3 linked regions of the Caenorhabditis elegans genome follow. The protein of the gene in region 2 interacts with the protein of the main gene of each other region in a pairwise test. Each region holds a gene or a part of one and is shown on either strand. Other genes may lie near its edges.

Region 1 (9,126 bases), on a different chromosome or scaffold from region 2:
TTCTGCAAGATTTATTGAAGCATAACTTTAGCTTGCAAAAGACAAAAGATTTTTTTAATTGTATAAAACTTCCAAATTTTCTAACCATTCGAAACTTATGGAAAAATTCGAAATTTCTGGAAAAGTTCCAGTATTGAAAAGACCAGCCAAAAAATTAAAATATTTGAATTTTCAGATGGTTTCTGAATTAAAAAAAATTTTTGTCATTTATTAGGGATTTATAAATCATTTTGGCGTATTCTGCTATTTTAGAACTTCTTAATTTTTTTTTGAAAACCACTTAAAATTTTTCGAACCATGTTTTTGACCACATGATGTGTTTGGTGGGGAAAGGTTTTTTAATTCCGATACCTGAACCTACATTTTTGAAAATACCAGAAAAACGAAGTCCAGAGAAAAAACACATCTAGATGCATAGTACCAAATTAACTATGAATAAATATTCATCATCTTTTCTCTAATCACGGAGCCTCCAGAGAATTATACAAAACATTGAGAAATAACAAGCAAATCTGAGAGACCTAGACATTTGTGATCTTTCAACATTCAGCGACAAAACCGCGTCGAGGTCATCGACAAAATTCATAGAACAAGAGATTTCGACGCAAAAAGACAGAACTTGAAACTCCGCCCATTTAAAGGCGCAAACATGACCTCTTTGTCTCGGACAGTGTCTTTATCATTTCCGTTGCTATCCTCCTACCGTACTCCTACTTCCAAGTTCCGCCCATTATTTTGATTCTTATAAAAAGCTGCGATCAAACAATTGAACCACCAACCAACTTATTTTCTATAACTTGTCTGAAAATGGCCTCGATCCGACCAATGGAGCTCGAGAAGATGCCCTATACTGAAGAGGAGCCGCTCACTTGTGGTGGAAAAGTAAAGAGATGGTGCAAAAAATATCTTCTCGAAGGTAACTTTTTCAAACATTTTACAGTTTTTAAGGTAATAATTTCAGGTCAACATCTTGAAGAAGGTCAAGCTGATAAAATGGCAAATCTTCCTGAAAATCCAACATTTGGAGATCTGGTTTTCATAAAATACAGGAAATTCGTCGCAATGTTGATCCCATTCCTTCTGATTCATGTAATTTTTTGAATATTTTTATTATGAACGAAATTATTCAAAAATTCAATTTCAGACAATCTGGTGGTCTACTGCAATTCGTCATAATCTCTTCCAATTCTACAATGATTATTGGCACATGCCAGTTACCATGGCACTTGGATCTTTTGTTGGTGGAATGACTTCTGAAGGATCCGGAGCTGTGGCTTTCCCTGTAATGACTCTTGCTCTTCACATCAAACCGGAAATAGCAAGAGACTTTTCATTGATGATTCAATCGATTGGAATGACGTCAGCACTCGTCTGCGTGCTCTTTATGAAAGTGAAGTTCGAGCATCGTGCAGTTATAATTGGATGCCTTGGAGCTGTACCTGGATTTATTATTGGAGTTCATTATATTGATCCATTATTTAGTGGAGCTCAAAAGAAAATGCTCTTCGTTTCAATTTGGACAGCATTTGCATTTGCATTGGGAATTTTGAATGCTCAAAAGAAGAGATCAACATTCCGTGAAATTCCAGAATTCTGTGCATGGAAAGGATGGGTTCTGTTCTTTACTGGAATTATTGGAGGAATATTTGATGCATTTGCTGGATCAGGAATTGATATTTGCATCTTTTCAGTTATAACTCTCTTATTCCGTGTAACTGAAAAGACTGCAACTCCAACAACTGTTGTACTCAAGGGAGTTATTGCTGTTTTTGGATTCTACTACAGAGCTGTTATGATGGGAGATATTGATATTATGGCATGGAGATACTTTGCAGTTTCGATTCCAGTTTCTGCTGCAACAGGACCAATCGGATCATTCTTGGGATCACATCTTCATCGTCAAGTTGTGGCTGGATTTGTGTATGTTCTTGAGGCAATTGCTCTTGTTGGATTCCTCTGTACAAAGCCTGCATGGCAACTTATTGCAGTCGGAGGTTAGTAAAATGTATAAAATGTATCTTACTTAGTGCTTTGATATCTACATATTTCTATCAAATATTCACCGTAAGCTTCACAAAATATATTTTATTTTTCCAATTTTTTAGGTTGCATCATCCTTGGTGGATTTGTCTTCTTCTCGGCACTATCCAAAGCTGGATCTATTCTGATGAACCGTATTGAAATCCGCCAAGAAAAAGCTGCTCAAAAAGCTGGACTCACTTCTGGAACTTATTAAACATTTTATGTATTCCAATTGTTTTTCGTAACGGGTTCGCTTTGATAGTTTAAATCCTTATTTTGTTCAACCTCGCTCTTTTCTATGTGAAAATTTGTTGTGATCTCTTCAGTATCTAGTAATATAGTCTAAAATAAAGATTTAAAAAATTGTTTTGACTTTAACTTTTCAATTGAAAAGTTTTAAGAGAAACGTTTGCAAAGCCCATGATTTTTCTAATAAAATTTTTTAACAAAACGTTTGTCAAAAGAAGTTATTTTTTCCTTCGAATAAAACTAATGTACCATCTAAAAAATTATTGTGATAATACAAAATTATAGATTTAATTATAAATTACAAAAAATGGATGAACACATCACTTGAGTGCCTGTCATTCATGTAAGACTTAATATAAATTTTCAATTGAAAATAATGAAGAATGGTGTGATGCCTTCTTACTTACTTTATTTTAATGATATATTTTATACAACTTTTTCTCAACAACACCCTAGTTATTCATTTTTCAGTATTTGATCTGGCCACTCATTTAATCTCTGTTCATCCTCCAGCCAGTAATCTGCCTCTGAACTAAAAAACGTCATGAACATGAGAAGTTTGAGAACTTGTGCACTCAACAAATTTTGTTTCGTTGGAAACATTTTCAGTTTCATTTTTTCAAACTATTCTGAATGTTTTATACTTTCAAGTAAACTTTTGTCATTTATGAGAAAACATTTTTAATCTAATTTGTCAGATAAGAAGTTTTGGTTTCCCAATTTTTTCATAAATTGTTTTTTTTAATTATTGATTTTATGAATTTGAATCAGAAAAAGAAATCAAACTAAAGGCTTTAACCCTAACTTTTTTTCAGATAAATGGGCAAAGTCGTCAAAAAATCATGTGGAAGTGGAGTCAAAAATTGGTGCAAAAAGTATATGTTAGACGGTTAGCACATCTTGTTTTTTTTCTTTTTTTTTTAATTGAAAAATATTTTAATTTTAATTCTTTAGGTCAAACACTTGAAAACGATCAAGCAGAAAAAGTCATCAATCCACCTGAAAATCCATCAACTTATGATATTCTATTTATCAAATATCGCAACTTTACAGCTATGCTAATACCCATGATTTTTATACATGTGAGTTTTTTAAAATAAACTTTCTTCAAAAATTTAATATAATTAAAAATAAAATATTTAGATGATTTGGTGGTCTATTGCATTTCGATATGATTTATTTCAATATTACTCCGAGTTTTGGCATATGCCAGTTGTAATGATACTTGGCTCAACGATTGGTGGAATGACGTCAGAAGGAGCCGGTGCGGTGGCATTTCCTGTTATGACATTGGGACTACATATTGATCCAGATATTGCAAGAGATTTTGCATTGATGATGGGTGGGTAAATATTCAAAGAATCTTATTTTGAAGCTCAATTCCAGGGTAAGCCTGGTATTCCTGGTATTCCAACTTGAATTTTATATAAAATAGAAAAAAATTATTCCATTTTGTCTAAATTTGAAACTGAATTTTAACGAAAAAACATTGACACACCTGCGGGCACAGGTTGTTTTGTAGAATTGCCATAATTAATTTCCGCTCATCTTCTGGGTTTCGAAGCGATCAAAAAGTCTCTTAGTTTCAGTAAAAATGTTCATTTTGCTTCTGTAAATGCAGAAATTTGTTTTGTTTCCGAAAATCTAAAAAGCAAGATGGGTATTGGAAAATGACGAAAAAAAAATTCATGGAAGAAAAATGTATTGAACATAAGAAGAGTTTTGAAGAAAGATCTATTTTCAATTTGCCATCCGCTCGGTCACATTTTCTTTTGTTCCACCTGGTGTTCCATTAAGTCCTTCGCCAGTTGTCGGTGTCATTGGATTGTGAGGCTGACTGAAAAGTGTCAATTATATTTTTAATTATTCAGCTTGACCTACCGGTACTGCCATTCGTAAGGCTCGCTTTCCTTGAGATCCGCTGGATTGCACTCTTCAATCAATGCGAGCAGCTTCTCATAATCCGGAATACTGTGATAGTTCAGAGACTCGATGTACTCTGCAGCTTTCGTCATGAGTGGTTTCTTGATGCACAGCTTCTCTCCAATATGGGCTTGCTTCAACTTGATGCAGTTTTCCTCGGATTTCTCGTACGACCATGGAAGACATCCATCTCCACATTCAATCTGAAATATTTTAATTATTTTTTTGAAAATACATTGATATGCTTACAGTTGTGTAGAGGAATGAAACCAAGTCGTTTTTGGGGCCGAGGTCCTGACGTGCATGAGCATCCAAACTCATGTAGCGCATTGTACCACGAAGGCCAAGTCCGGGACGGGGGTTTCGGACGGTTCCACACTTGTCAAGGTATTGGCGTGTCAGAACTGAAACATAAACATAAGTTGTAATTCATCATTGCTCCGTAGGGACGCGGGCGAGCAGGTGCAACATGGAGGAGCGCTTCTTTTAAGGTTTGAAAGTTTGCTCTTCCCCCTAGATGCTCGCATTTTCAATTTAAAAAACCATACCGTAATCAATCAAGTAGATACGAGTACAATCCGTTGCACCAATACAACAATTGGGTGGCTTTATGTCCCGATGCAAGAATTCTGCCCGATGGACCAACGCGAGAGCCTTCAGAACTTGGGCCATTGCACGGTAAAGAGTCCGATCCGTGATTCGTTTGTGTGGAAGAGCTCTTCGAACATCTCTTGTTCTTGTGATGCGTGTTCCACTTTGACGGCGCAGTCTTCTTTACGAACTTTATCCCAAGCTCTGAAAATGTTCCAGGTTAGTAAATAAGAAAATTAGATTTCAGATTGTTTTTTAATGTTATAGCTTCCAAAAACGTTTTGAACGTTAAGCTAAAACGACAGTAGACGAAAAGTAGACTAGGTGAAAGAAAGCTCACAAAACTTAAACTCTCCTGTAGCAAGACGAGTTCAAAAATATTTGTTTAAAGTAGAACTAACCTGTAGATCTGGGCGAATCCTCCGCCGCCAATAATCCCCTCAACTTCGAATCTTCCCGAAATCACCGATCCTTCCGCCATATAGTTGATGTTCTTCATTTGATTGTGGACAGCTCCGGCAATTTTCTGGTTCTCCTTCTTTTCATCCTCTTTCCCTTTGCTCTTCTCTTCCTTCTTCTCGTCTTTCTTCTTACTTTCATCGGCCTTTTTTTCTTCTTTTTCCTTCTTTTCCACGTCCTTTCTCTCGCACGACATTCCTTTTCTTCTTACTTCTTAACTGCTGCCGCTTTTTAAATTTTATAAATTCAAAATAATTGAATATACATTTCCACCTCCCCCTCCCTTCCCCCCCCCTCCGTTCGCTATTTAATTTTTACTAAAATGTCACGTTTGAATAATAAATAAATTTATTGAGGAATTCAACTTTTAAAATCAAAATGCAAAAATCAAAAGACGTGAAAAATTACTGAATAAAATTCTGTGAAACAGAAAAAACTGACACCGGGTAGTGCCAGACCTAAATACAGTAGTTGCTAATTTGCAATTTTACTACAGAATTGCTATCCTCTAAGCCTTCAAAGTGGCCTACGCCTGCTGGTAAGGCAGGCATGAGGCAGGCACGTAAGTCTGAAAAGTTACCTGACATGGAAGCTTAGGAAAATTTTTCTGTCGGTTTCTTGAATATAAAACTCCCAAAAAATAAAAAGGTTCCAACTTTATATTATCAAAAAATTGCTAGATCGTTCAAAAATAAATCTTTAATTTCAGGAATGACGTCAGCACTCGTCTGCGTGCTCTTTATGAAAGTGAAGTTCGAGCATCGTGCAGTTATAATTGGATGCCTTGGAGCAGTACCTGGATTTATTATTGGTGTTCATTATATTGATCCATTATTCAGTGGAGCTCAAAAGAAAATGCTCTTCGTTTCAATTTGGACAGCATTTGCATTTGCATTGGGAATTTTGAATGCTCAAAAGAAGAGATCAACATTCCGTGAAATTCCAGAATTCTGTGCATGGAAAGGATGGGTTCTGTTCTTTACTGGAATTATTGGAGGAATATTTGATGCATTTGCTGGATCAGGAATTGATATTTGCATCTTTTCAGTTATAACTCTCTTATTCCGTGTAACTGAAAAGACTGCAACTCCAACAACTGTTGTACTCAAGGGAGTTATTGCTGTTTTTGGATTCTACTACAGAGCTGTTATGATGGGAGATATTGATATTATGGCATGGAGATATTTTTCCGTTACTGTGCCAATTTCTGCATGTGGAGGTCCTATTGGATCATTCATTGGATCAAATTTACATCGTCAGTTGGTTGCTTCGTTTGTTTATATTTTAGAGACTTTTGCACTGGTTGGATTTTTACTCACTAATCCTGGTTTGGATTTGATAGTTGTCGGTGGTAAGTGTTTTCATAAAATATTAATCACTAAAAACTTGTGGGTTTTTCTGTTTGAAAAATATACAAAGAGGATTTTAAAAAATCAATGAAAACCTTTGTAAAAAATCTTAGATGTGTATCCTATATAGGCGGAAAGGATTAGCGTTTTTTTTTTCAAACTAGTTTTATAATCAAAAAAGGTCTAAACGTACTTGAATTAGTCTAAAATTTTAGTATGTTGTAAAAGAAATACGTTTTATACAGCAAAGAAAATACTATCGAAGAATCGGATCTATTACAGCTCTCATCATTATCGGAGGTTTCGTTTTCTTTTTCTTTGTGTCAAAGGCGGGAGCTTCACTTATGCAGACGGTAATTGAAAATGAGAAACAAAAACAACTGGAGAAAGCTCAAATCTGAATAATAGAATTTCATTTATGTAACGAATGTTTAGTATCTTCTCTGTCTTCTTTTTCTGCCCCTCATGACCACCTGCTTGTTTGCTTGTTTCCATGGTTACCTGCTTGAGATGCAAAGCGAAATATATCGACTTTTACCTCTTTATTCTTCTTTTTTATTTTGCTTTTGAATATTATGAAGCTTCGAAAATTATTTTAATTGATAATAAAATTGAATTTTACATTACAATTGTCTCTCCCTTTTATTTTCTATCATTATTTCCTTTTCTTCTCTGACCACGAGCAAGGTGACAGTTTTATTACCAGACGACGCAAAAATTGGAAATTTATGGATTTCGGTACCTTTTCCTTATTAATCCCTCTAACGCAGGATTAGTTGCCAAATCGACAGGCGGAAACTGTCAAAAAGGGAAGAGTATTGCGTAATTTAAGGAAGGAAGCAGGTCGCTATGGGAATTATTTTGAGTTAGGAAGGAAAGTTAGGATCAAGAAACTTGGACATATTTCGAGTCTTTAATTGTCAGCTAATACCGACTGTCTTTGGTTTTATTAAAATTTTGTCAACTAACAAAACTAACAAAATATTTGTCATGAAACAGTTTTTCTGTCTGCAGAATAACCTGAAAGCCAGCGTGTCAATGTGTAGTAGACGAGTGCAGGACATATTTACAAAATTATCCGACAATTTTTTAAAGTGCTTTTTTCTGCACGATATTCTAGATGTTACTGTTATTAATAAATTTTAAAAATGTAGAAAATTATTTTATTGATTTGAAAATTATGTTCATATTTGTTGATAAATTTGGAAACAACCTCAAGTACATACTGCAAGATAAAATTCAGTTAAAAAAAAGAGTAGTTTGTTAAACATAAAACTGGATAGTTCAAAAGTAATTATCAAAAAGGTTTTCAAAACTATTCTTATAAAACTATATTTTTTCTTCCACTGAACATCTTTTTCTTACACTTTAAGCTTCCAAGACTAAATTAACGTTTTTAATTTATCACCCAATTCTTATCAAATGATCCTAATTAAAAAAAAAACGGTTTAAAAATATATCCTAGTATGTCCCCCAACCATCTGTCAGATTATTGATACTTCATTTCTTTTTCAATCCTTTTTGAACTCTTGCCGAAAAGGTCATTATGACATTCTGTCACTTATTGACACCCAAAATCGATTAATCATCTAGAAAATACTTTGAAATTAAGATCTAAAAAGATCAATGGGCTTCTTTTCGTCATTGTCCAGTTTATTCGGATTGGGAAAAAAGGATGTGAACATCGTTGTAGTTGGACTGGATAACTCGGGAAAGACTACAATTTTGAATCAACTCAAAACTCCAGAGACAAGAAGTCAGCAGATTGTGCCAACTGTTGGACACGTGGTTACGAATTTCAGTACTCAAAATCTCAGTTTTCATGCATTCGATATGGCAGGACAAAGTATGTGAGACACGCTTGAATTTCAAATTTTATATTGAAATTGTAGAATCTTTCGGTCAGTAATTTATAAAACTTTTTCGGCGTAGGGCTCGAAACGGTCATTGCAATTTTATAGTTTCAAGTTCAAAAATTCCACTAATCGATTGATAAACTTGAACAACTAAAGTCGTTTTCCTGAACTGATGAAATATGTGTTAACAAAATGTAGATTTGGAAGTAGGCACGCGTGTAGGCATGCGGTAGGTATGATTATTTTTCGCGCCTTTGTAGAAACGTACAATATAATTTATCGGAGTTTTTGCCAGATTTGGCTGAAGTTGGAAATCTTTTCAGTATTTTTTTTTGTTTCGAAAGTTGTAACTACAAACTGGAAACATTTTCAAAACCACTCTTTGTTTTTTAATTATTAATTTCAGTGAAATATCGTAGTACATGGGAAAGCTACTTTCACTCTTCTCAGGGTGTCATTTTTGTACTCGATAGCTCTGATCGTCTTCGAATGGAGTTGCTCAAAGACGAGTTGATGATGGTGATGGAACACAAGGATGTGGTTTCCCGAGGGGTAAGTTTCTGTCTGTTTCATCATTGGAACAAGTTTATGACTACTGTCACTTTGGAAGGTTGAACAGAGGAAGACAATCATAAAACAGTCAAAGAAATAAAATTTGAGTTTCCTAAAAGCTAGCA
Region 2 (7,172 bases):
ATACGTTTTCGTATATCGACTGATGTTTTGGGCGTGACGGACTGCAAGGAATCATACTGATTTAATAATTGTGAGTAACTTACAAATTAGACTGAGGTCGCCATCTTGCAATTTCTTTCGTATTTTCATAAATAGGACCAGTTTTATGTACTGAAGAAGACACCGAAGTACAACCTTGTTCATAATAATTCAAATATTCCTACAAATACAACTCCTTTTCTCCTCGTGTCTTCAGTACATAACACTCACCTTATAAGTATTTAAACTTGAAATTTCATCAATGTTAGCACGTCGAAAATTTTGTGGCGAGTAACATTGTGGCGAGCATATAGTGAAACATTGCATTTTTTGTTGAAAATTGTTGTTTTCAGCTTGTTGATTTGAGTTACAACTTTGCGATAGGCTGAAAATGAAACGTTTTATTGATTGTTTTCAATATACTCACAAAGTATTGATATGTCCACTTTGTGGTTGAAGCTGTTCAGCGGACAAATTCTTTAGGCACTGTGACTGCGAGAACAATGAGTCATCTACGTATTTTACAACAGTGCGGCCGTCTGATTCTTCATAGACGATTTTTAAACCTCCATAACTCCCCATTTCACTGCATGTGGTTATCTGCGTATGTGATGATGGCCACAAAAGGTTTGATTGGTCGTTTTTAGACTTATATATTTTCTGAAACTTGAATGTGGGCAGCTTTATACAACAGTGCCGGCCAATATTCTATTCACTTTCGGTTGTTCAAACACGTGTAACTCAAAAACTAAGATAGTTAGCAAAGTATTTTAAACTAAAAAACATGTTGCCGATTACTTGTTCTACATTTTTTTATTTTGAAAAAATTATACAACTCTGTTCCAAAAGAAAATTACAGCAACTGAAATCCGGCTGGTCCATTTTTGACTAGAATTTCTAATTGATTCACAATTTTAAAATTAGATATGTTCATGAAAGAAAGTTTAATGAAAAAAGAATCTCCACAAAGTTGTATACTTTTTGCAATTTGCTATTTTGTTACGAATAGACCAGGAAATGTTATACAAACGATAAAAAATAAAGCACAAAATTCGAAATTTTAAGCAAGTTCTGAAAATTGCGTTCAAATGTTTCACAGAGCAGTTTTTTCATCAAAAGCTTAAATAGTTGCAAAATGTATGAAATTGTTTGAACTCAGAATTTAATTTCAAAAAAAGTTTTGTTCGCATTATGAGAGAAAGCTGTCAATTCTGACCCTTCTAATGTAGGTTTAATCTTTTTATAAATGTTCCTGAGCACTTTGGAACAAAAAACAAATTGCAAAATGTAGACGCAATTGTGGATATTGTTTTAATATTAAATGTTGTTTCATGAAAAAATTCCTGTCAAAATACAAACGCGCCGAATTTCAGCACCTAGAACATTTTTCTGAACATAGTTATACAAATTTGGCAACTTTGAAAGTGTAGATAAAGTAACCGTAAACATTTTGTTAAATAAAAATAATTTGCTAACTGTTATAGTTTTTGAGCTACACATGTTCGAAGAGCTGAAGCAAATCACCGAAAACTTGGAAATGAATAGAATATTGGCCGGCACTGTATGTAATAAATTCGCATTCCTACCGTATTTTTGTTTCTTTCGTGACGTAGGAGGCTCTTAACATTCAAATCCCGGTCATGAAACTGCAATACAATTGTCTCTCAATTTACACAAAGTCGAATAAAAATATTTGGCAAATCTTACTGCCAAGACAAATTTTTAAACTTACAGTAACATACAATTTGTCATCCACAACAACATAAGTGTAACATTTCTGTTGATCCCTGGCTTGTTTCAAGACATAATCAACAGACTCCCGATACTTCCAGTAGAACCTATCCCAATCCTGCAAAATTAATCAACTTTTAAAGCCAACTACTAGAAACATTTGTTTTAAATAGATATCTGACTCGAAGCCAAGCAAAAAGACGGAAAGTGGGTTTCATCATATTAAAACTTATCAAAATGAAACCCACTTTGTTTGAAATAGCCCATTCAACGTCTTCGTAGAATTTACCAACGTATCCAGTATAATTTCGGTGAGGATTAAGTAGATACTTCAAACATTCCATAAAGTTATGAGCGCAATATGTGACCGTGTAGTTCTACAAAATGTTTAAACTCTTGTGATTCCACAGAATTTGCACAGAAGTAACAATAAATGAATCTTCTGGTGAACAAGACTTAAACTAACTGAAAACTTGAAGTTACCTTTGGTAAATCGACAGTTTTTAAATTCTCTGATAGTTTTTTGAATTGGGCACTGTAGAAGTTATAGAATTTTCTATATTTACTCTGAAAAATTAGAAATTGAGTTATCACTTAATTTTTTCCTACTTTTTGGGAGCATTCATTGAAGAGTTGTATCATTTCCGGTGTAATATAAAAACAAGCGAAATCCATTCTGGGAATTTCACGAATTTAACTTGTAAGCACTGCGGAAAGTTATCAAGAAACAAAATGTCAACTGAACTGATGTGCTGAAAGAAAAAAACCAAAGGTTAACTTATTGCTAGGCCTATGTTGAAAATCGATCACTGATAACAGTTTGTTTGTGGAAACATTTTGGAGTGAGGAATCGTTCAATATAGTTTGTAATCAACCTATAGGTTGCAGAAATTGTATGAGGAGTGTTTTTATTTGAAAAAAAGTTTGCCGTACATTCACTAAAGTAAAAAAAAACATGAATTTTGATTTGAGTTGTGCTTTTTTTTCAATTGAGAGACTTTTAAGTCTGTCGATTAAAAAACTAATAAGAAATTCGTAACTTAAAATGAGTGAAGATCGCATAATAATAATTTTCCAATAATTCCAATACAAGAAGTCAGCTATGATCTTACAAAGGCCAGAAGCAGGATGTGAAAATTTTTCAGTTTTAGCAATCGTACAAACAAATTGAATACTCTTTACTTTCTGAGCGGTTAAAAACTGATAACAGAATAATGTACTAGGAATAGATATTTCAGTTTAACATCACTATTAATTCCTTAGATGTGAAAACTCCTCGTTTGGTTTTTCTGCATAAACATCAAACTCTTATCAGTAACTTCCAACATAGACATACATAGCAATACTTTTCGAGTCACAGTTTTGTAATTGACATATTTTTTCTTGCTCATTAAATTCTATTAATTCGATTTCATAATGGAAATTCCATCTTTTCATATTACACCAGATATGAGAAACTTATTCAGTGAATGTGTTAAAGAAGTAAGGTAGTTTCCAAATTGATGACTTAATTCTTAACTTTTTCAGGGAAGTTATAAACTTTTCTACGACTTATACAAGAGTGAGTTCGAAGATCTAGCCGTACATTTGAAAACTGTCAGACTACCGGAGGTAACTCAGCTTTTACGGCGCAGTTGATAAAAAGTAACGTTCAAGGACACCGTACTCCACTACTGCGTAAGCAACTTCATGGAATGCGTGGAATATTTAATTCATACTGGCCGCGGATACAACTATTATGGTCACGTTTTTAGCTTTTACAGGGATGTTGACTGGGCAATTTTAAATGGAGTGAGTTTAAATTAATTTGATTTACATTTGAGCCACTTTCTTATAAAAATACACATTAAAGGTGGACTACACCCTGTGGGGAAATTGCTTTAAAACATGCCTTTGGGGTCACAATGACCGAATATCATGATGAAAAAATTTTAATAAAATTTCTAGGTTTTAAATGATTTTTTGAAAATTGAGAAAATCTCAGTTTTCCCCTAATTCCTATTTGAATTTCCGCCAATTGAATTCGTTCGATGGAGCGCGCTTGCATTATTTTCATAATTTTTTTATTTTATATTCATTATTTCACTGAATTTCTTTATTTTTTGGGGGTTTTTCATCGGAAAATGAAAGAAATAAACAAGAAAGAAGCAAAATGTTTATTTGAAAGTAATTGAAAATGCCTTAAACTCTGAAATTATGCGATCCGACGACGATGAGCCTGAAATTAATATTATTCAGAGTTTTAGGCATTTTTAGTTACTTTTTAATAAACATTTTGCATTTTTCTTGTTTATTTCTTTCACTTTCCGGTAAAAAATCCCCAAAAAATGAAGAAAATCAGTGAAATAATGAAAATAAATAAAAAAATAATGAAAATAATGCAAGCGCGCTCCATCGAACAAATTCAATTGGCGGAAATTCAAATAGGAATTAGGGGAAAACTGAGATTTTCTCAATTTTCAAAAAATCATATAAAATCTAGAAAAATTTTTTACATTTTTTATCATGATATTCGGCCATTGTGACCCCAAAGGCATTTTTTAAAGCAATTTCCCCACAGGGTGTATGTAGTCCACCATTAAATAATGTTTGACTTCAGGATTGGAGCAGATTTTACTGGAAATTTCGCGACTCCGTAGATTATGTTATAAAGAAAGCAAGAGAGCAACGGAAAATTCAAATTTATGTTGTTGAAGGAAGTGCACGTTATTCTTCTGTAAGTCATGCCTAGTTCCCAAAGATTGAACGTTTCTGACTTATTTCATTGCAGTTCCGTAGCCGTGATCGCAAAAATCCCAAAGAAAATTCTCCAGAAACTCGAGGTATGGTTTAATTTTTTTTAAGTCTAAAAAAAATTCAGCACAACCCTCTGATAATCTAAAACTAGACGTCTTAGTATCAGAAAACTCTGATTTAGTCCAAAAACCAGTCCTGGAAGATTTTGAGAAAAAATCGCAAGAGCGGGAAAATCGAAGACGAGAGCTTGAAGAGGAGCTGAGGAAACTGGATCTAGAGGAAAAAGAGCAACTGGCTATGATTTCAAACTTCAAAAGCCCGGAGCCGGAACTTCAACCAATTTCCCCGCCACCCTCAATACATGATGACCTTATAAATGACATGGATGGCGGAATGTTTGGTTAGCTCACACTTTTGAAAAAAACAACTTGTTTAAAAAAAAGTTTGTAGGTTCTGAAAAAACTGACGATTCAAGTTTGGAAGACTTGCAGCTTCATGTACAAGAAATGGACAAGAATACTATGTTAACAGGTTAGTTAAATTTTTTATTATGTATAAACATGTGTATGTACAGAAAATTTCGATCAAGATCAAGAAGAACTGAAACTTTTTGTGCAAGAACTAGAGCAAAACGCTGCTGAAACAATTAACAATTCCTCTCACCAACTCGAAAATGCTCTGAAAGCTGAAGAAAATATTGAAACTGAAATCTCTGAAGAAGAAGCTAGCGACGATGAAGAGGAAGACAATTTCCACACAATGCTCCAAGAACAAGCTGCACGTCACAAGGAAGAAATGGAAAAAGTCATGAAAAAACGGGCGGAGCAGAAGAAAAAGCTTGAGGAGCTAAACAGAAAAGTTAATGCAATAGTTTTTTACAAATAACTTAAGTTAGGTATTGTGTTCTTAAATCCTCACAATAAATCTCTCACTTACTATATATTTCGAAAACTTGCTTATTCATTGCGAATTTCAATTTTTCATAAGAAAATCTGGTTCATAGAACTTTTAACCTTTTAACCGATGTCATTCTAAACACTTTTGGTATTTCATTGACAGGTTCTGAAATTTGTTAAATAATTTTAAAACTTTTTGAAAAATTTCGAAAATTTTTTTTGGAATTCTCTGAAACTTTTTAGAATTTTTAGAATTTACTTTTTAAAATCTGTATTTTTCTGAAATTATTTAAACACTTTCTGAAATGGCTCTTTTTGTAGAGTTTTCAGACCTTTTCTGGAATTTTCTGAGCAAACTTCTAATATTTCATTGAGTGTCTATTAAAATTATTTAAACAATCGATTCATTGACAAAAAATAAAAAAATATGAACAGATATTCTGTATGAGGTGTCTAAATAAATTTTAAAAATCAAATTAAAACTTGAGTAGATATCGTGTATGAGGTTTCACAACCCTTCCATCTTTAAAACCCGTTGCAGATAACTGGTACAAGGATTATTTCTGAAAAATAAAGAAAATTATTGTATAAGTATGTACATATTTTTTCTCTAACTATGTACCTTGAAAACGCTTCGAATAGTTATTCAATTTCGCCTCCAGGTCCATCTACAAACAACATTCCTGAAAAAAAATTGGAAGTGAGAATTTTTTTCAAATTTAACGCTAATATTTGATTTTCCAAATTAAAAAAAGATAAAATCTTCAAAATTCCAAACAACCGATACAATTTTGGCCAAAACGAGTTTGAAAAGATTTTGAAGGGTAAATTTGGAAATTGTTTCAAGTTTTACTAAGCAACCAGGAAATTTTTCGCGTTATAGGGTTGATTTTTTTGGAAAAAAACTGATGTAAAATTAGCAGGTTCACATATATTTTCGCTGGATGTTGTTAATGAATTTGATGTGGAAATTGTGAATTTTTATCTATTTCAGCTCAATTTTTGGCGGGAATTCAAATTTCTGTCAAACAATTTTAGCGGAAATTTGAATTTCTTTATACAGCTGGTGTTATAGCCTCTCCGAATGTCTCGGGAGTAACTTCTGAAAAAAAAAGTTTTGGCGAGAATTCAAATTTCTGTCAAACAATTTTAGCGGGAATTTAAATTTTTTCTAGAACATTTCATTTCTATTTTAAACCATTTTCCTTTGAAAAAATCTTATAAAATAAGAATTTTTGTGGGAACACTACAATTTCTAATTCAAAATCTAATTTTTCCTCATTTTCAACTATCTAAAAATAATAACTCACCGTTTTCAAGAAAAATCCATAAAAATTAGAAAAAAATCAGCAGAAAATAAAGACCCTCACACAAAGAGTCATAGTAAATATTCGAAATGAGTCGATTGTGGTCTGAACGGTGAGGCTGGAGAGACGAGAGAGACGAGAGAAACAAGGAAATGAGAGAGACGTGGCAGACACGAGACACAGATTTTTCCAACGCGGCAAGAGTGAGGAAGGGAGGAGATAGTGTGTGGGAAGATGAGAGTCGATGGGAAAAAGTAACGGGAAGGCCGGTGGGATTTACAATGGGAAATTGGATGACAAATGTGCATGGGAAAATAGGAATTGTACAGTATTGTCTGGAATTTGTGGAAAATTCCAAAATTTGCCCAAGTCGTGTGAAACGTCGGAAGATATTTTTTAAAAGTTCTGAAATCTTTTGAAGATTTCTAATGTTTTTTTGAAAATGTCTGAAGTTTTTTGAAGTTTTCTGGAAAATTCTGACAAA
Region 3 (6,095 bases), about 14 Mb from region 2:
AAAAACATTTTGCTGTCTTGAAAATTCTTTCGAAGACGTGTTGTTTCAGAAAAGAGCCTCCAGCCGAAAATTCTCTGGAATTCAAAACTCATACGATAAACACTTTGCAAATTCAGAATACCCTTTTCGCAGCGTCTCGATTCTTCTTCGATCCACCATAAAACGAATCCGTGCTCTTGCTTCTTTTCTATGCTTCTCACGGTTAACCAGACACTGAAAAAGTTGTGTGTTATCGCGAAAATGATGATTTTATGAACTTTGTTATAAAATTGAATGAGTCGAACTTTTGATCGCATTGGGAACATGAAGGGGAGAAAGTAGTTGAGCACAATTCTACGAATTGCAAATGAAAACACAACCTGAAAGGAACAAGTGAGTTTATAAGACACTATGTCTCATGTTGTTTCAATTACACAATCAAATTCAAATTTCAAAGAGGGCGAGTGAAATTACGAGTGAGAGGCACCCGATTATGCCTCAATAGGTGGAACGGCTATAGTCATTCAAAAAGTGTAATTTTTTGAAAAGCTCCAAAGATTTTGTACCTGAAACAAAAATGACAACAACAGTGGAATCACCAGCCAGTAGATCAGAATATCCGTATTCGGTGCCAATGGCTTCAGCAAACAATGCTCATTGGAAAGCGTCTGAAAATATCAATAGGTTATCAAATTTTCCTTCTCGCCAACCTGATCAACTTCCAGTGTTTCATTAGTCGATGTCATTGTCTTGAGAAAATCTGCGAGAACTCCTTCACCAGTAATATTGAGTCCAGCGGGAGCACTCGCTTTCTGCTTAACCTGTTGTCTAGCCGACTCGACAACCTAAAGATAGATATTGTTACGCAGTTAAATGTCTAATTTTAGCATACCGAATCAAGGAAAACAAACAAATAATAGTCGAGAATAATAATGACAGACACGGTAAGAGCTAGAATAAACCATCGGAAAAATGGACGAACTGCTTTTGATCTTTCTGCTTTTGTTGGTAAACTGGAAAATATTTTGAGTAAATTATATTGTTTGTTTTAGACAATCACCTAAATACTTCCATTACTCGCCACTCACGTTTCTCTTGCTTTGAAAAATGCGATAAGTGAGTTTGTCCTCGAGCTTGTCGAAATCTATCAATCATCCAAAACTCTCTGAAAATCAAGTCATTTGAGAACCCAATTGTAAATTGAATTAATAACTTTGTAACAAAAGAATTGGAAAATGCGACGTCCTCCTGATACTTCCGGATCATCCCGACAGAATCGCGAAAAATGGTATAGACAAAGTATATAAAGAATGCTTGAAAGATTTGCTTTGAAACTCCAACAATACTCTGAAAACGGAATTCATAGCAGTAATAAAATAAAATGAAATACCTTGAAATAAAGATTAGCAGCTCGAATTTTGATTTTCAAATCCGAAAGTCTATATTCAATGGCTACTCGTGGCGTTTCAACCCTAACAGAATGCAATTCAATATTACTGTTTTGTTCCAGTTCCTCTGTCAATTTCATCACATCAGTAACATCTTTTTCGATAGATGGATCCACGTGACTTTCCTCCAGCTGATTTCTGCAAATATTCATGGACTGAACCCTTCTTTCGACTGCCTGAAAATTTGTGATTAGGCAGTTGAATTATTGGGAAAAATTTACATCGCAGACGCCTTCGACGTTTAATTTGGGACAGATGAATGCTTCAATAGGCCAAATAATTGCATCTTTACACGAAGACTGAAAATAAATATCATATCGAAACATCACCGAGAGAGAGAGAAAAATATTAGAGTTAGGGTTCTTACGAGAAAGTTTCTTTTCTCGAAAGTTCATTTAATTTTTTTTCTAAAAACGAACAGAACGGTAAAATGGATAATTTTGAGAAAAGAAACGATTATCTTGAAATAAGATAACTATATTGTGTAACGTTTCATACCACAAGCTCCGCAGCAAGATTTCTGCACTTATCGATTCCCTTATTAAACATCTGTTCACAGTTTCTAGACATCTTATCTGCCATTTTTTGAATAAGCTGAAATGTTCTCCAATAAATCCTTTTCAGTTTCACTTGCACCCACCGGTGTCTTAAATTTCTTCCAGACTGGAGGCTCTCCAATGGTAACATTGTCTATAAGATCTTCAGCAGGTAACAGCTCCCCGGCAATCTGATCTTCCTCTGTAAGCGATCGATTCATGGACTTCTCCCACATCTTCAAGATTCGTTGTTTCCGTTTTTCGATATCTTCCAATTGTCCTCTTTCAATTTCAATTTTCTTGTCTATTTTAGTCTTCTCAGTTTTTAGAAGTTCCATAAAAGGTGTTATCAGAGCTCTAGTCTCTCGAGAAACTGCTTTCATTGCTCGAATTCCTTTTGCTGAAATAACTTTTTGTTCAAAGAGGTTATTAGTTAACAATATAGTTACCCATCAACTTTTCGATCAACTCCTCCAATGGCCCTGTTAATAAAGCTACACGATTTGCAGTGATCTTGGATTGTAACTCAATATGACACATCACAATCTCAGACGTTGTTTCATAGTTTGACATCATATTTGAAATTGGTCCCTCTTGGAGGTTGCTCATAACTAACATAGTGAACGGATCTAGAAATAAGTTATTCTAGTCATTCCGCAAATAAATTATCAAAGCTTTACATTGTCCTTGTTTGCCAAACGCGCCAATTAATACACAAAACAGAGCACATCGAAAAATCTGGAAAATTTTAACTTATTTCATAAATTAGAGGTTTTTCAAACCGGGCTCACTGCAAAGGCATAAGTGGAGAAAGCAACAATAGTCCATTTAACGATCAGCCCATAAGTATAGTCAAAATCTCCAAAGTTCAAGTTTTTCCAGCCAGCATGATAAAGGGAGGAGGAAATCAAGAGGCCGAACAGAAAGTTCACGAGAAGCCGGAGGCGGTAATAATCACTCACTTCGCTGAAATTATCAGTAAGAATTGTTTCCTTAACGTTTTCTTACCTTCTAACCAAATAGTCTGTCAGAAAACCTATATTTTCTCGTCTTCGAACTTCATCCCGTTTTTTATCATCGAAAAATCCCATCTGAAAACTTCGAAATAATTGATTTCCACGCAATCATTGTCCATTTCCCTGTGTTTTTGACTTGAAACGTAAGAAGACATCACGTACAATTACGCGTGGAGACGTTTCCATGGAGTTTTTGGTTTGTTTAAAAACAATGGGGATTTTTCAATAACAAAAGAAACTATCGTTAAATATTCTTCAGTGGTTCTATTTGAAACTCATATTCCCGCTTTTCCACAAGCTTCTTCACTTATTTCGTTGTTATTTTTTCCTAATCCCCTTGGAAAACAACTTTTTTTAAAAATGACTGATAAAGTGTGCGGGTGTAATGTTGTAACATCTGCTGGAGTTGTAACCAGTCTTCAGGTAATTTGGCTATTCAACTAACGGAAATCAAAAACATTCGCAATTTTCAGCTCATTGTTCTTGTGCTGACCCTTTCAAGTACTGGTCTTATTCTTGATCGTTATCGAACATGGCAGACTGTGTATCCCAGAACTCCTTATAATGCAACAGCACAGGCAGCTGCGGTAAATCTTAGAATAAATTGTCATTTGATTACTGTATTAATTTCAGAATGGTACTCTAAAATTCAACGCAACCATCTGGAGTGAGTCTTGGGTAGAGCTCGGCATGGCTTGGTATGTCGGATTCGGATCATTTTGGCTTTTTTCAATTCTCATCCTTGTCTTGTCATTCAAATATTATCGTCCTGTGTTTGTGGTGCCAAACTTCACGGCTCTCGTCGTCGGAATATTCATGAATCTTCTGGCATTTGGAGTTCTTCTCGCGCGGATATTGGTTGTTTCAAAGGATTATAGGACTGATGAGTATGAGGAAACAATCATTATTTATGTGATGGGACTGTGCCTTTTTGCATGTATATGCTGTCTTCTCTTCATCATATTCATTTCTAAATATCACACTTTTCTCCGGAATCGTTACGGTCATCAAGTTCCAAAAGTAAACCTATCTATTAGAAAATTTAGAAATAATAATAATGGATTTTCAGTTCATACAATCTCGTGCGAGGACAGGGTATCATGATGAAGCGTATTAATTGTGTGATTTTTTTCAACATTTGCAGGAATTCATAAATTTCTTTGAACATGTGACATTTTAATCTTTCATAAATAAAACGAGAAAAAAAAAACCTTATCAGCACTGCTCAACAATAATCCCGAATCATCACACATTTTCAACGAGGGGTTTATTTTACCGATACACACAGATTAATGACATACACAATGATAATTTACAGACATGCAAACTGAAACTTTCTGTTTCAATACATCAGACTTTCTTAGAAGTGACCATTTTGTACTGGTCGATCGCTGTGTTTTCTTTGCTTTGCATATGAGTTAGTTTTTCGTAAATGATCTTTCCGTCGCTGAGTGGGATGAGAGAAGTTGGTCGGCCCCATACAATATCACTGTTACCAATGAGATCGTCGGCTAAAAAATAAAAACTAAGCACGATAGAAAAATGAAACGAAAAGAAAAAATTATAATAAAAAATTATAACAAACCTTTACTCCAAGTACTGAAAATGTAAGAGGCTTCCTTTTTGTTCGAGTTGTTCATATCATTGAGAAGGTTCGAGTATTTGGAAATTCCATTGCAGGGAGTAGATGAATAACCACAGAATGATGATGTATAGCCTCCACACGAATCTCCAGGCCAAAAGCCATTCTTTTTGTTGCAAGTGGGAGCAAACAAGCCGACTGTTCCTGCGCATCCACAAAGACCATAGTTAGCACCAGCAATTCCAACGAACACATCAACTTTGCCACTGATTGATACTCCCAAATTGCAGTTTCCATCAGTCCCATTCACAATTCCACCTTGTATAACCTTTCTTCCAAGAGTCACTCCCATACTGTGACTGATCACCGATACTTTAGCATATCCTGTGTATGCTAGAACAGCTTCAAAGAATTTTCGTAGACGAGTCAGATCTTTGCAATCATGTGTTCTTGTTTCAGCTTTTAGAGAATTTGTATCCTGCCAAGATGTGGCATATAATTCCGCAGAAGTAAATCCTTGAGTTGAAAAGTATGAAATGGTGTTGTCCCAACCTGTGGCCATTGATGATGTTTTAAGTGCACTGTCAGAGTTTCCATGAATAAATATTACAGGAGTTTTACTTGCTTTAGTGATGGTTTTAGTAAAACCACCATAACTTCCTTTGACTCCATAATCGCTTCGAACGAAATCATAGCTGTCATAACCATTACTGAAATTTAACTCTTTTTCAGACACAAATAGGATTTGAACTCACATTTTCAGCCAATTCTGAAAATCTGTAGTCAATGGTCCGTTGACGCCTGATGCTGCTTGACAGCTGATTACAAGAAAAGCGAAAAGTGAGAAGAGCATGATGGAATGATTGAAGAGCACGGCATCGGCTTTGCTTTTTATAGGGTCACACCTCATCGGCGTGTGTTATGAACTGCGTCCTGCACACTGATAACTGACGTTGTGTAGGCGAGAAGCTGATTTACGCAAATTGAGTATCAGATGAAGACCGTATCCGAGGAAGAAAGATAAAACTAATAATCAAACATGTGTAGGTTTATGTGATATCATTACTATGCGATGTTTTATTAGGTAGGAGTAGAAGACATCGATGTTTGAGCATCTATAGGAGTGCAGTCTGTCCCTCATTAGTACCGCGTGAATTGGTTGCAAATAAAATTGTGACGGTCAAAATGTTTTCAAACAGTTGGTCTTGGTTTATATGTACATACCGTATTTTCTTTTTTGATCTCTATTTTACCTTCGTTTCTACTGGAGTTATACTTAGGGCTTTCATGGGAGGCAGGCGCGGTTTCAGGGCCTGACGACTGGCTTCAACCTGCCCGCCTCACGCCGGCATCTCGCTTCATTTCTGCACTATGGCAAAAAGTCAAAGGTTTGGTGTTTTTGGTTAATTGGAGATTAGACTCACAGTACTACTAGACCTGTGCTCCTAAAATATTTTTTCTTCTGAATGTTTTTTAACCGTATCCAAAGCCAACAGACTAATTGGTTTCCCGTGTAAGAACAAACGTAAGTTTG

What was found. Proteins that work in one complex are often made in the same cells at the same time.
Region 1: the proteins of K02E2.7 (region 2) and F26A1.7 interact in a two-hybrid assay, tested with the Caenorhabditis elegans proteins (one large-scale study listed by BioGRID).
Region 3: the proteins of K02E2.7 (region 2) and K12B6.4 interact in a two-hybrid assay, tested with the Caenorhabditis elegans proteins (one large-scale study listed by BioGRID).

Annotation. Positions count from the first base shown.
Region 1 is NC_003281.10:4,813,908-4,823,033, reverse strand, and holds F26A1.7 (Membrane transporter protein), read left to right. Parts: upstream 1-3,090; coding exon 3,091-3,160; intron 3,161-3,225; coding exon 3,226-3,353; intron 3,354-3,414; coding exon 3,415-3,613; intron 3,614-3,951; exon of another isoform or gene 3,952-4,011; coding exon of another isoform or gene 4,012-4,108; intron 4,109-4,152; coding exon of another isoform or gene 4,153-4,397; intron 4,398-4,443; coding exon of another isoform or gene 4,444-4,598; intron 4,599-4,742; coding exon of another isoform or gene 4,743-4,866; exon of another isoform or gene 4,867-4,989; intron 4,990-5,186; exon of another isoform or gene 5,187-5,494; intron 5,495-5,643; exon of another isoform or gene 5,644-5,793; coding exon of another isoform or gene 5,794-5,806; intron 5,807-5,953; coding exon 5,954-6,595; intron 6,596-6,875; coding exon 6,876-6,994; 3' UTR 6,995-7,214; downstream 7,215-9,126. Other genes in the region: F26A1.8 (Membrane transporter protein), read left to right, coding at 808-916, 962-1,089, 1,145-1,994, 2,106-2,236; F26A1.4 (non-specific serine/threonine protein kinase), read right to left, coding at 4,012-4,108, 4,153-4,397, 4,444-4,598, 4,743-4,866; arl-6 (ADP-ribosylation factor-like protein 6), read left to right, coding at 8,220-8,439, 8,856-9,001.
Region 2 is NC_003283.11:20,382,967-20,390,138, reverse strand, and holds K02E2.7 (Cilia- and flagella-associated protein 251-like), read left to right. Parts: upstream 1-3,096; 5' UTR 3,097-3,165; coding exon 3,166-3,231; intron 3,232-3,276; coding exon 3,277-3,360; intron 3,361-3,405; coding exon 3,406-3,540; intron 3,541-4,348; coding exon 4,349-4,465; intron 4,466-4,519; coding exon 4,520-4,571; intron 4,572-4,666; coding exon 4,667-4,885; intron 4,886-4,935; coding exon 4,936-5,016; intron 5,017-5,059; coding exon 5,060-5,370; 3' UTR 5,371-5,409; downstream 5,410-7,172. Other genes in the region: F53H2.1 (SH2 domain-containing protein), read right to left, coding at 5-41, 84-199, 250-403, 446-678, 1,605-1,664, 1,751-1,867, 1,998-2,126, 2,233-2,316 and 1 more; K02E2.11 (Phosphatidate cytidylyltransferase), read right to left, coding at 5,907-5,944, 6,004-6,049.
Region 3 is NC_003283.11:6,278,381-6,284,475, reverse strand, and holds K12B6.4 (Conserved plasma membrane protein), read left to right. Parts: upstream 1-3,200; 5' UTR 3,201-3,339; coding exon 3,340-3,402; intron 3,403-3,452; coding exon 3,453-3,566; intron 3,567-3,612; coding exon 3,613-3,999; intron 4,000-4,048; coding exon 4,049-4,096; 3' UTR 4,097-4,183; downstream 4,184-6,095. Other genes in the region: spe-49 (Dendritic cell-specific transmembrane protein-like domain-containing protein), read right to left, coding at 1-74, 122-213, 258-359, 546-647, 690-824, 872-992, 1,040-1,144, 1,193-1,326 and 8 more; fil-2 (Lipase), read right to left, coding at 4,330-4,490, 4,565-5,271, 5,317-5,414.